Danio rerio: one gene and its partners. The protein of the gene in region 1 purifies or fractionates together with the protein of each later gene. This does not show direct contact. Links are inferred from orthologs where the notes say so. Each region holds a gene or a part of one and is shown on either strand. Other genes may lie near its edges.

The links. The genes of interacting proteins can lie anywhere in the genome.
Region 2: the proteins of ptges3a (region 1) and egln1a purify together in Homo sapiens (affinity purification with mass spectrometry; 5 studies listed by BioGRID and IntAct, with this or other methods). This does not show direct contact. The link is inferred for Danio rerio from reciprocal best matches to the Homo sapiens genes PTGES3 and EGLN1.
Region 3: the proteins of ptges3a (region 1) and fkbp4 purify together in Homo sapiens (affinity purification with mass spectrometry; 3 studies listed by BioGRID and IntAct, with this or other methods). This does not show direct contact. The link is inferred for Danio rerio from reciprocal best matches to the Homo sapiens genes PTGES3 and FKBP4.

What each region holds. Positions count from the first base shown.
Region 1 is NC_133198.1:29,970,431-29,974,687, forward strand, and holds the start of ptges3a (prostaglandin E synthase 3), read left to right. Parts: upstream 1-1,457; 5' UTR 1,458-1,627; coding exon 1,628-1,629; intron 1,630-3,751; coding exon 3,752-3,865; intron 3,866-4,257. UniProt on the Homo sapiens protein: Cytosolic prostaglandin synthase that catalyzes the oxidoreduction of prostaglandin endoperoxide H2 (PGH2) to prostaglandin E2 (PGE2).
Region 2 is NC_133188.1:52,996,937-53,001,161, reverse strand, and holds the start of egln1a (egl nine homolog 1), read right to left. Parts: upstream 2,801-4,225; 5' UTR 2,595-2,800; coding exon 1,989-2,594; intron 1-1,988. UniProt on the Homo sapiens protein: Cellular oxygen sensor that catalyzes, under normoxic conditions, the post-translational formation of 4-hydroxyproline in hypoxia-inducible factor (HIF) alpha proteins.
Region 3 is NC_133193.1:7,697,214-7,701,200, reverse strand, and holds the start of fkbp4 (peptidyl-prolyl cis-trans isomerase FKBP4), read right to left. Parts: upstream 2,801-3,987; 5' UTR 2,505-2,800; coding exon 2,415-2,504; intron 1,439-2,414; coding exon 1,294-1,438; intron 344-1,293; coding exon 201-343; intron 1-200. UniProt on the Homo sapiens protein: Immunophilin protein with PPIase and co-chaperone activities. Component of steroid receptors heterocomplexes through interaction with heat-shock protein 90 (HSP90).

The sequences.
Region 1 (4,257 bases):
ATATTATTAGTATAATTTGTATTATTTACTTATTTCATTTGTTTTCTGCAGTTCTTTAAGTGTTGTCTATTTATTAGACAGACAGACAGACAGACAGACAGACAGACAGACAGACAGACAGATAGATAGATAGATAGATAGATAGATAGATAGATAGATAGATAGATAGATAGATATTAATAATAATATATTAATAATTATAATAATAAAAATAGCACATTCATCCATCTATATACCTTAACTGTTAAAAATCCGCAGACAACAACCAAAAATTATAAGTTTTTATAAATATTATTATTATTATTAGTAGTAGTAGTATTAATAATAATAATAATAATGTTGATTGTTGTTGTTTTGTTTATAGCAATAATTATTGTCATTATGGCATTGCTATTATTGTAAATAATGTGTCATGGTTATTTTATTATTATTATTAATATTATTATTATTATTAATAATAATAATAATTATTATTATTATAATAATCATCATCATCATAATGATAATAATTCATTCATTCATTCATTCATTCATTCATTTTCTTTTCGGCTCAGTCCCTTTATTAATCTGGGGTCGCCACAGTGGAATGAACCGTCAACTTATCCAGCTTATGTTTTAAGCAGTGGATGCCCTTCCAGCTGCAACCCATCACTGGGAAACATCCATACACTCCCATTCACACACATACACTACAGACAGTTTTAGCTTACTCAGCCAAGATCACATGTCTATGGACATGTGGGGGAAACTGAGGCTCCCGGAGGAAACCCATGCGAATACAGGGAGAACATGCAAACTCCACATACTCCACTGACCCAGCCGTGGCTTGAACCAGCAACCTTTTTGCTGTGAGGCGATTGTGCTGCCCACTGTACCACCATGCTGCCAATAATAATAATAATAATAATAAATAATAATAAATAATAATGATAAATTATTATTACTATTATTATTAATATTACAAATTTTTCATAATTTGTTGTTTTATTATTACAATTATTATTATTATCATCACTATTAATATAACAAATGTCTACTAAAGTATTAATATTATTGGTATCATTTGTATTATTACCTTATTTCGTTTGTTATCTGCAGTTCTTTAAGTGTTGCCTTTATCAGACTGACAGATATTTGTATTTATTTATTAATATTTAATTAAATGCTTTTTATAAAATACATGTGAATGCACATGCACTTCATTCATTTCGCCTAGTGTAGTACGCCTGAGGATCCTGACAAAACAATTTCATTCTGACTCAAGAAAAAGTATGACGTATGATTTGTGTGGCCCTGCATCAGTGGACGTCCTGTACTGTACTGTCAAGGCGGAGCGAGCAGGGGAGCGAGCACTGCGTTACTATGGAGACGTGTTTGCTTAGGGAACGCGCATGGCTGGGGGCGCGCAGCAGAAGTCGCTAGAAACGTTGAGCTGATGCGTCACTGCGCGCCAGTGTGTAGAGACACGCGCACTCCTTGTGCAGGTTGACAGCGGCGCATAAACAGCTATAGCTTCCGTCTGTATGCCTTCACTGTGATCTGACAGCACAAATCCAAAACACTACCCCAGGCGAGAGGACGCGAGAGGAGACGCAGATTTGGGTGAACACTGAAAGGAGAATTCGACATGTGAGTCTGACCGGCAGTCATAGGGATGCACTAACTTTAGCTAGTTAGCAAATGTGTGCATAACCTTTATCAGCGAAACACCAGATTCTCTCTCATACGCCAACTATCATGTATGAACATTTAGGACAATACGAATCTTCCTCGTGAAGAAGCTTAGAATTTGTGTAGAAAAACGTCTAGTGGTAATTGGTGGTGGAAATAGCACACATTGTCCCCACAGCAGAGCTTAGCTAGCTGGTTAGCAGCTAGATAGTTAGGCCTGGGGTTACTGCAAGCTACTATGGCATGATTCTATTCTGTTCATCTATTCATGCTTCATATGCATTATTGTAGAATGTACAAGCAATATATGTGTCATATAAATCAACCTTTTACAGATCAAGGCTTGCAGGCTGGGTGTTCCCTATTGGAAAAGAACATGCTTAAGTCATGTTTGCTGTTTGAACGGGTTTAAGAAGGTATTAATGCCAGTTTATGCTGGTCTTCCATGCTGGAGATCAGTTGGGTGGCTATTTGGCCAACTGAAGGGGTTTAGTTTGTCATCCCAGCTTTACACGACAGGTTTGTGAGATGGTTTTGAGTACTTTCCTTCAGGTCATGCTGGTTAACAGTCTACAGGCTAAACCAGCAGAGCAAGGCTGAAAGGTTTTCAGCTGCGATCAATGATACACCATCTTTTTAAATGCATGTATGGACATGATAAATGCTAAAATTAAAAAATATGAACCAAATCTCCTTTATAAATAATATAGTAATATAATAATAAATGTTCAGCATCTTGTGGTTTCTGAATGATCACGTAAAACACTGAACCCTGGAGTAATGATGCTGAAAATTAATCTTAGAAGGGATAGTTCACGCAAACATTTTCATTTACTCACCCTTTAATTGTTTCAGACATTTGAGTTCCTTCTGTTAGACACAAAAGATTTTTTAAAGAAAGCTGGAAACCTGTAACCATTGACTTCTTGTGCTTTTTTTCCTACAATGGAGGTTAATAATTATAGTTCTTTAAAACATCTTTTGTGTTTAACAAAAGAAAAATACTTAAAGGTTTAACCACATAAGGGAGAGAAAATGGTGCGAATTCTAAATATTTGGGTGAATTATTCCAAGAATCAAAGTTATAAAGTTACTTTTTAAAGCCTTAAAATTAAAAAGTTACTTAGAATGACTGTTTTATTGTATCCTATACAGGGTATCCACAAGGTCTTAAAAAGTCTTAAATCTCAAAAATTTTAATTTAGGCCTCAAATAGTCCCAAATCAACTGAAATATTGTGTTGTATGTCTTAAATCTTTTTTAACATTCTTAATTTTCCTCTGTTCATGTATAGCTTCCCAATCTGGCCATTAACACTCATACAATCACCAACAATCTCAACAAAACTTTTCATTTAGAAATTGCATTTTGAACTAATTTACCATCATTGTTTAATTACTTTCCTTACAGTAATTGTTTTTAAAAAGTTCGCCCATTTATTTACTGCTGAGGATACTGACCACCTGACCTATATTTGTTATTATTAAATTATTATTATTATTGTATTATTAAATGTATTAAATTCTAATTATTTTTGAGAGGGCAAGTGAAAAAATTTTCCAACTGGGATATTCGAAAAAAAAAAATCCTTAGCATTTAGCTTTAAGTCTAAAATTTCCTTCATGATAAAAAGGTCTTTAAAAGTCTTACATTTAACCTAATGAAACCTACAGAAACCCTGCTTATAACTACAGCAATAAAAATAAACTCCAGATTTAAATAGGAGTTATTGTGCAGCCCTTTATTACAGAGGCCTGGTTTTGCTATAATTGTATTACATGGGTTAAGCCTTAGGTAGATTGTTAAGAAGCCATGCATGATCCTGCCAATTGATACAAATAGGTTGCCACGGTAACGTCATTGTTGCTCCACCCCCGCCAGGACCTCCTGCCCGCACATGTTAATTTAGAGCTGCACTTTTAGTGTGGAGTTTGACTTTTAACAAATGCACTTAGCTGGTTGCTCAGTTCCTCATGGATTCCATTAGAATTAAGTGATATTGTGTTTTTGAATGTCATATTAAAGTGGAGTTAGACTGAAGCCTTTTCTAAAACATTGCTTTTCATTTTTTGTTTTGCAGGCAGCCAGCTACTGCCAAGTGGTATGACAGACGGGAAGCTGTCTTCATCGAGTTTTGTATAGAAGACAGCAAAGATGTCCAAGTTAAATTTGACAAAACAAAGCTTGATTTCAGGTACATCCTTGTTTTAAGTTGTTAATAGTAGGCCTGAGTGATTTTGGAAACATTTTACATTGCATTTTTTTCTCTGCGATGTATATTGCGATATAAATTCAATTTCACCAGATGACAGTTATAGCTCTATCTGCAAAATCTTTAGTTTAGTGTGATTGGGATGATTGTGTAGGGGTGTGAAATATAAATATATATTTTAAATGTAATTTATTATATACATATAATAAACAAACTACATTCATATATCAACACAATGGTGCAAAAATGAAAGTAAATTAAACCATGTTTTCTGGAGAGAATCTAACAGTATTCAGGTACAGAAATTAAATAAATGTAAAATGTCAAATGTAAAATAACATTGCATAGTCTTCATTATACAAGTAATTTAATAA
Region 2 (4,225 bases), on another chromosome or scaffold:
TCTTGAACAATATCTAGTCAAATATTATTTACTGTCATCATGACAAAGATAAAAGAAATCAGTTATTAGAAATGAGTTATTAAACTATTATGTCTAGAAAATAATCTCCTTCAACTCTACATGTTACTTAAAGGGTCAGTTCACCCAGTGTTTATACTATTTGTGTTCTTACAATGGAAGTTAAAGGGTGCTTTTTTTCAGCACTCTTCAGAATATTTTGTTTTGTGTTCAACAGATAAAAGAAACTCATAAACGTTTACAACCACTTGAGTCTGAATAAATGATGAGTAACTGCATTCAAAATACAATTAAATCCAAAACACTACACTAAAAAGTACTGCAAAACTTGCTGGCAATTTTGGTTGCCAGATTGGTTGCAAAATAGATTTATGGTAACTTACTGACAATTTTGGTTGCCAGTTGCAAAATACATTTACAATAACTTATTGTAACTTAAAACTTTACTGTAACTTACTGATATTTTTGGTTGCCAGTTTGGTTGCAAAAATAATTTATATTAACTTACTGAAATTTTTGGTTGCAAAATACATTTACAGTAACTGATTGTAACTCAAAACTTTACTGTAACTTGCTGACAATTTCTGTTGCCAGATTGGTTGCAAAATACATTTACTGTAAGTTATTGTAACTTAAAGCTTTACTGTACCTTACTGACAAATTTGGTTGCCAGTTTGGTTGCAAAATACATTTACAGTAACTTATTGACAATTTTGGTTGCCAGTTTGGTTACAAAATACACTTACAGTAACTTGCTGGTAATTTTGGTTGCAAAATAAATTTACAATAACTTACTGACAATTTTGGTTGCCAGATTGGTTGCAAAATACATTTACAGTAAATTATTGTAACTTTAAGCTTTACTGTAACTTACTGACAATTTTGGTTGCCAGTTTGGTTACAAAATACATTTATATTAACTTACTGAAATTTTTGGTTGCAAAATACCTTTACAGTAACTGATTGTAACAAAACTTTACTGTCACTTGCTGACAATTTTTTTTTACCAGATTGGTTGCAAAATACATTTACAGTAACTTACTGTAACTCAAAACTTTACTGTAACTTGCTGACAATTTTTGTTGCCAGATTGGTTGCAAAATACCTTTACAGTAAATTATTGTAACTTAAAGCTTTTCTGTAACTTACTGACAATTTTGGTGGCAGTTTGGTTGCAAAATACATTTACAGTAAGGTATTGACAATTTTGGTTGCCAGTTTGGTTATAAAATACACTTACAGTAACTTGTTGGTAATTTTGGTTGCAAAATACATTTACAATAACTTACTGGCAATTTTGGTTGCCAGTTTGGTTGCAAAATACATTTATGGTAACTTTCTGACAAATTTGGTTGCCAGTTGCAAAATACATTTATAGTAACTTATTGTAACTTAAAACTTTACTGTAACTTACTGACAATTTTTTTTTTTTTTTTTTTTTTTTGCCAGATTGGTTGCAAAATAAATTTATAGTAATGTACTGAAATTTTTGGTTGCAGGTTTGGTTGCAAAATAAATTTACAATAACTTACTGACAATTTTGGTTGCCAGTTGAAAATGAAATTGTCCTCATCATTTATTCAGACTCAAGTGGTTGTAAACTTTTATGAGTTTCTTTCATCTGTTGAACACAAAGCAAGTTATTCTGAAGAGTGCTGAAAAATTATTTCATATATTAACTATGGCACCTAATATTAACTTAGTAACTGTAATGAATGTGACTTTTCCGATTTTAATATGCTAACTAAAATTTTAAAATTCAATTACATTTAATTAGGTTGAAACATTTGTTTACTCTGAACATTTGATAAACCGTTTTTTTTTATCATACCTGTTCATCACTTATTATTATTCACCTATTGTGATAATACTGTACATGAAAAGCTTCATCAATTCTCTAAAACATGCACATTTGACATCACCATAACCCTAAAATACAGCATGCACACAGTTGACAGACAGATACTTACTTTAGTCCTTCCATTAATTATGTAGTTTCCCAGTTTCCCATTGCAATTCCTGACCAGGTCATCCATGCGGCTCATCAAGAAGCAGATTTTCTCGCATCCAGGCTCCTTCCCCTCAATCCAGGTGATTTTATCCCCCCGTATGTCCTTCGAAGAGTCACTTTTCTGACTGACCAGCTGACCGTCAGTGAATTTACCCGTCTGATGAAGAGCCTTCACATCCTCCAAAATGGACAGTCCCATGTCTTCCCCCAGAAAGTTGTCCACCACACAGATGCCATGCTTGTTCATACATGGGATTATATAATCGGTGGCCAGCTTCTGTGTGTGGGGTTTGGCTTTCAGATCAGCTTCTGAGCTGCAGATCAGGTTGTTTTTCTCTGGATGGGCAGTTTTGGGGTGCTGTTGTTGGGTTTGGGGCACAGTGTTGTGTTTGTCAGCCTCTCTGCAGGTGAGTTTGTGCTTTTTCCAGTGCTCCTTTTGATGCTCTTTGCTGCAGTAAAATGAGATCCTGCACCTACCGCATTTTAGCAGGTTTTCCATCTTCCCACACAGCTCGCAGTACTGCTTATCCCCGTCGGGATCCAGAACTGTCGGGCACTTCTCCATGTCACCGACCCTTTAAATCCGGTGCTTCCACCGGTCAACTTTCACGCACAACGCGTCAGCATCAACATATACGAACGAACAACCGCGTCCGTTCATCACGGTAAGATATTCCCGTTAAATAAACCACAGGGGTCGGGATCGACACCGTGCAGCGCGCGCGCTCCATCCCGCTGCGCTCTCCTCTACAAGCGCGTGGCTGTGTTGCTCTGCGTTCTGCACGTCGCAAGTACAAACCAAACCTCTGACGTCACTGAGGGAGGGCGTGGTTACAGATGTGACATGATAAATACGCCCCGCCTCGCTTCATTCACATTTCACACACTACTGAAGGCGGGAGAAGAAGGGAGTTTGTGTGTTTTGAGAAACATCTGTCATACTCAGAAGGATCTTAAAAATATTAATGTCTTTGTTAGTAGTAAGGAGGTCTAATTGGTAAGGATTTAGAGTACTAAAGCTAAAGCTGAAGGTTTTAGTTATGCTCAGAGGGGGTTTAAGAGAATCGGATTCAGTTGCTTTTGTGAGCTGTGATTAAAATGACAAGATAACTTTAAATGACATATGCCTATATATTATTACCTAAAATGTTTAAATAGTTTATCTCATAGATTACCCTAAAGGTACAAAAGTATATATATATATATATATATATATATATATATATATATATATATATATATATATATATATATATATATATATATATATATATACACACACACACACAAATACATATATACATATACATATATATATGTATATTTATATATATATACATACATACGTATATATACATATATATATGTATATGTATATATACGTATGTATTAAGGGTGGAGCCGAACCCGAATACGGTATTCGGAAAGGCACGAATAGCGTGTTTTTACGAATACTTGATTCGAACAAATACTTGAAATATTATTTGTATTCGGGAGCAAGGAAAACACTATATCAAAAATCAGCGTTTCCTCATGAGACCACAGTGCATGCCCGCGTGAGTGAGTGAGTGAGTGAGTGAGAAAGAGAGAGAGAGAGAGAGAGAGAGAGAGAGAGAGACGCTCAGTGCAAAACGCGCCAAAGCCCGAAACTGAAAGAGACACGTGACTTTTAAGGGGTTGTTTCATATGGATTTATTAATCATTCTTACTGTTCAGTGATCACAAACTGCCGTAGTTTATTAAAGACACAAATCTCTCACTGCACGACAGCTGCGCGCCTTCAGCAGACCTCCTCATTCCTGCAGCACGAGAGCTTTATGATTGTTTATGCGCGCCAAAAGTGGCGGATCTGTCCGGTAAAATATCTGACTGCGTTTTACCGCATCCCTAAGGACTGTTTGGCGAAATATTTGACTGCATGTCACTGCATAACAAACCACTGAAAGGATATAACTTTAGAACTCATCAGAGCAGGCAACGTTTCTCCAATCTTCTATTGTCCAGTTTTGGTGAGCCTGTGTGAATTGTAGCCTCAGTTTCCTGTTCTTAGCTGACAGGAGCGGCACCTGGTGTGGTCTTCTGCTGCTGTAGCCCATCCGCCTCAAGGTTGGACGTGTTGTGTGTTCAGAGATGCTCTTCTGCAGACCTCGGTTGTAGCGAGTGCTTATTTGAGTTACTGTTGCTTTTCTATCAGCT
Region 3 (3,987 bases), on another chromosome or scaffold:
AAAAAAAAAGAAAAGGAAAGAGACTTATTTTTATTTAAGTACTTCATCATTATTCCATATTACGTAAGAAATTGTTTCAATTACATTTTCAAGCACTTTATCCAAGACCTTAAAAACAGCAGATCCAAATTCAAGCATATTTTTTAAGGATTTCCCGCACCAGTACAAACATTGACAATCTCAGCAGTCTATTACATTACCTGGAACAGAAGAGTAGCATTAGGAGGGATTTTTGGGGGGCTGCCAGCAGCTCCGTATGCATACTCAGGTTTGCATGTCAATTGGCAGATCTCGCCAATCTTCATTGTAGCCACACCGATGTCCCATGCTTTGATCACCTGACCTGCGAGATGGAGCAAATAATTGTCTAAAATTGTTGACTTGGATGCGCAATGATGTTTTGCTTGCATTTACAAATGCATCTGTTCCTATGCCCTGCAGTTTTCTGCCCTTATCTCGAACACAGGCTTGGATTTGTATTCGCCTCAATCTAATCGACAAGTAAAAATATATATAATACCTGCTACATTTCTAGATATATCTTTTATTTTACTTTCAATTCTATCATCACAAATCAGGTATTTCATCTAAAGCAATTTTAAGTAACATAATATTAAGAAATGTCTAAGATGTTTTCATGTTTACAACAAGATAAGAGACATTGAGAATACACCCTTGTGGTTTATTATTTAAGCTTCTGCTATTCATGAAAAAGAAACAAGAAGCTAAATGAAACTACAGAGGTTGCCGAGTACATTAAACATCAAGATGAACAGGTTAATCTGATCACATTCTTACAAACTCATAGTTTCAGGGGAAATGTTGTTTACAGTTTTAAAGTGTGTCAGAAGCTTTACGGCTGTGACATTATAGTTGTGTGTTTAGGCGCACAACATAAAGACAGACAGGTTAGTTAGTCAAGATTATCATCAAGTACGTTTACATGGACACCAATAATCTTATTAATACGATTAAGACAATACTCTGATTAAGAGTCTACCATGTAAACAGCGATTTGATTCATTTAATCTAATTAAGGTCATAATCGATCCAAACAGAAATCGAATTTAGACGTGGAGTATGCTGATTTTAGTCGAACTGAACTTCAACTCTGAAAACTGGACTGACACAGTTTCAATCTACTACAACTTCTATGTTAAGCTGCTTTGACTCAGCCTACATTGTAAAAGCGCTACAGAAATAAAGATGGATTCAATTCATCTAATTCACCTAGACTCTGTTTAAGAGTCAGCGAGGGCGAACTACCATTTAGCGCACTTCACCCTTACTCACCTTTGCCCAGCTCAAAGGAGAACTTTTCCCCTCGATCACGGCTGGAGTCGAACTGTGAGCCATCAAGCAGTGTTCCGACATAGTGCACAAATACTTTATCACCAATCATAGGCAACTCGGTGCCAGTACCCTCCTTCTTGACCAACTGTGGAAGAGAGAAAGAGATTCATCTTCAATCTGTTGGGCACACTGCACTACACCTGTGACCTGTCAATCTTCAAAGACCGCAGGGCAGAAAGATGTTCACGCCTAATGCTTAGGTTAATGACTTTATACACAAATAACTCTTATATGTTTGTAATAATCGAATAGTTTAAGCATACACAGAGCCATATTCCACACAATAATCACACAATAAATAAAATTATTAAGTTATTTAGGTGAATTCTTCTTGAATGAGTTGCACCGAAAGCGTTTAATTATCCCAAACAAGTAATTCCTGTATTTGTATCTGATAACACCAACCTGAGGTTTCCAGAGATTACATGCTTTGATTGCTACTGATTTTAATCACATAAGTTACATGTGTCACTTGTATATTAAACAGAAGCGGCACAAAACTTTGTTTAATTAACATTGCAAACCAAAAGAATTGTAATACTAAAAATAAATAGGAAGATTCACCTAAAAATAAGATTTGTCACATTTGCTAACTTTAACGTTGTTTATAAAACTGAATGGTTGTGCTTTTGTTTACAAAACAATATATTTACCAGTCACCATTCGTTTTAGTAACGTTAGCATACAACAATGCATAATGAAAGTGAACGGTGACCCGCGGCTGTCAGACGCTAATGTCTCCTTTTGTGTTTACATTACAAGGTAAATCATATAGGTTTATGAACACATTGAGACGAAATGAATCAGATCAGAAATATTATAATTTCTGAAGCGAATTCTCTCTTTAGGCGCGGTAGAAAGATCTAGAAAACGCAGCACAATTAGCAACAGGCGTTGTTTATTAATACATACTGTTAAAATAGTCACATTTAAATGCACAACAACAGCTATAGCAGTAGTAAAAGTGCATTAATAGACAGACATATCGTCTGTAACATGCTTTTTAGTCAGTCACACCTCCCACATGGAGTCAATGCGGCTCAATGCCCTGCAGTATTTACCTTTAAAACCCCTCCATCTTTCTTCGGGGTAATGTCTTCACCCTCGATGGGGATGCTACAACCTTCATTCGCCACCTCCTCTGCAGTCATCGTCGCTTTAATATAGGTATCACCTTCAAAATACCACCAAAATACAGACTGAGTCTCCTCGCCGAGGTCTTTCCTTCAACAGCTAACGTGCAGAAATCACTGAAGACTCGACGTCTGCAGGGCTAAACGGCTTTAATTTCGGTATTAGGAGTGGATTTGCTAAGCTATCGCGCGATTGTGGCAGTCAGCGGCCGATAAATGTGGTTTTTGGGAACGCGCAGGGACTCCGCGAGGCGTTTATATAACGATCGGGCCGCCGCTGGAAACTGAATCGACTCAGCGAACTTTCCAGAGCTGCGCGAGAGCGAGGAGACGGCAAAGTCTAGAACTGACTGCAGCGTGAGGGACCGTCGCAAAATTCTAAACCCAGTCATTAGCGGAGAAAGGGATATGCGAGTTTGTGATACAATCAGATTGTAGAGAAATCCAAATGTCGTAATCAACACTCCTATTACAATATGACTATTCTATTTTCCACATTTTCATTTGAATTGTAAAAACTGATACCGTTTTAGCAGTGTATATTTAATAAAAAGGAAAATATCTGTTAGCATTTACATAAAGCTTTATATATATATATATATATATATATATATATATATATATATATATATATATATATATATATATATATATATATATATATATATATATATATATATATATTACCTTCTAACTGTAAAATCTCCCATACTGACATCATATATATGGGGCGTCTGCATATTTAATAACTGAATAACTGACAGTGCACGTTCATTGAAAAGTAAGAATGATTAATAAATCCATATGAAACAGTCCCTTAAAAGTGACACACTCAGGCGCACTTTGCACTCACACTACAAGTGTAACTGCCTAAGCTGTCATGTTATTGTTGATGTTGCTCGGATTACTTGAAAAGTCCCCATTAGATCATAACCTGCTTTGGATAAACACTTCAGCTATATTATTTAATTTAAGTGTATGAAAGCACATATTTTAGTCTATATAATTTTATTAGTTTTCCCAGAGATGGGTTGTGGCTGGAAGGGCATCCGATGTGTAAAAACTTGCTGGATAAGTTGGCGGTTCATTCTGCGGTGGCGACCCCGGATTAATAAAGGGACTAAGCCAACAAGAAAATGAATGAATGAATAATTCTATTCGCTTGTTAAGTGGTGACGTGTTGGTGCCGTATGTAATACTTTTTCCGGGTCCACTCATTTGAATTGACAAAATATTTGTTTATGATCACTTTTTATTCTTATTATACATTAAAGTGAATTTTATATAAAGTTATGGTGTACACAACAGTCTCTGGGCTTGCTGCATCCCAAATTCCAAAATTTTAACAATTTATAAAAAAAAAAACGAATCACTTTCTGCCCATCGGATATTAGGCATGGATCTATATATTGCGATCATGATTTTCGCAAGTATTACAGCGCTTTGAAAATGTTTATCATTACCCTTTCATGAGTCTCCTCATACAGTTTGATAAAGTGAT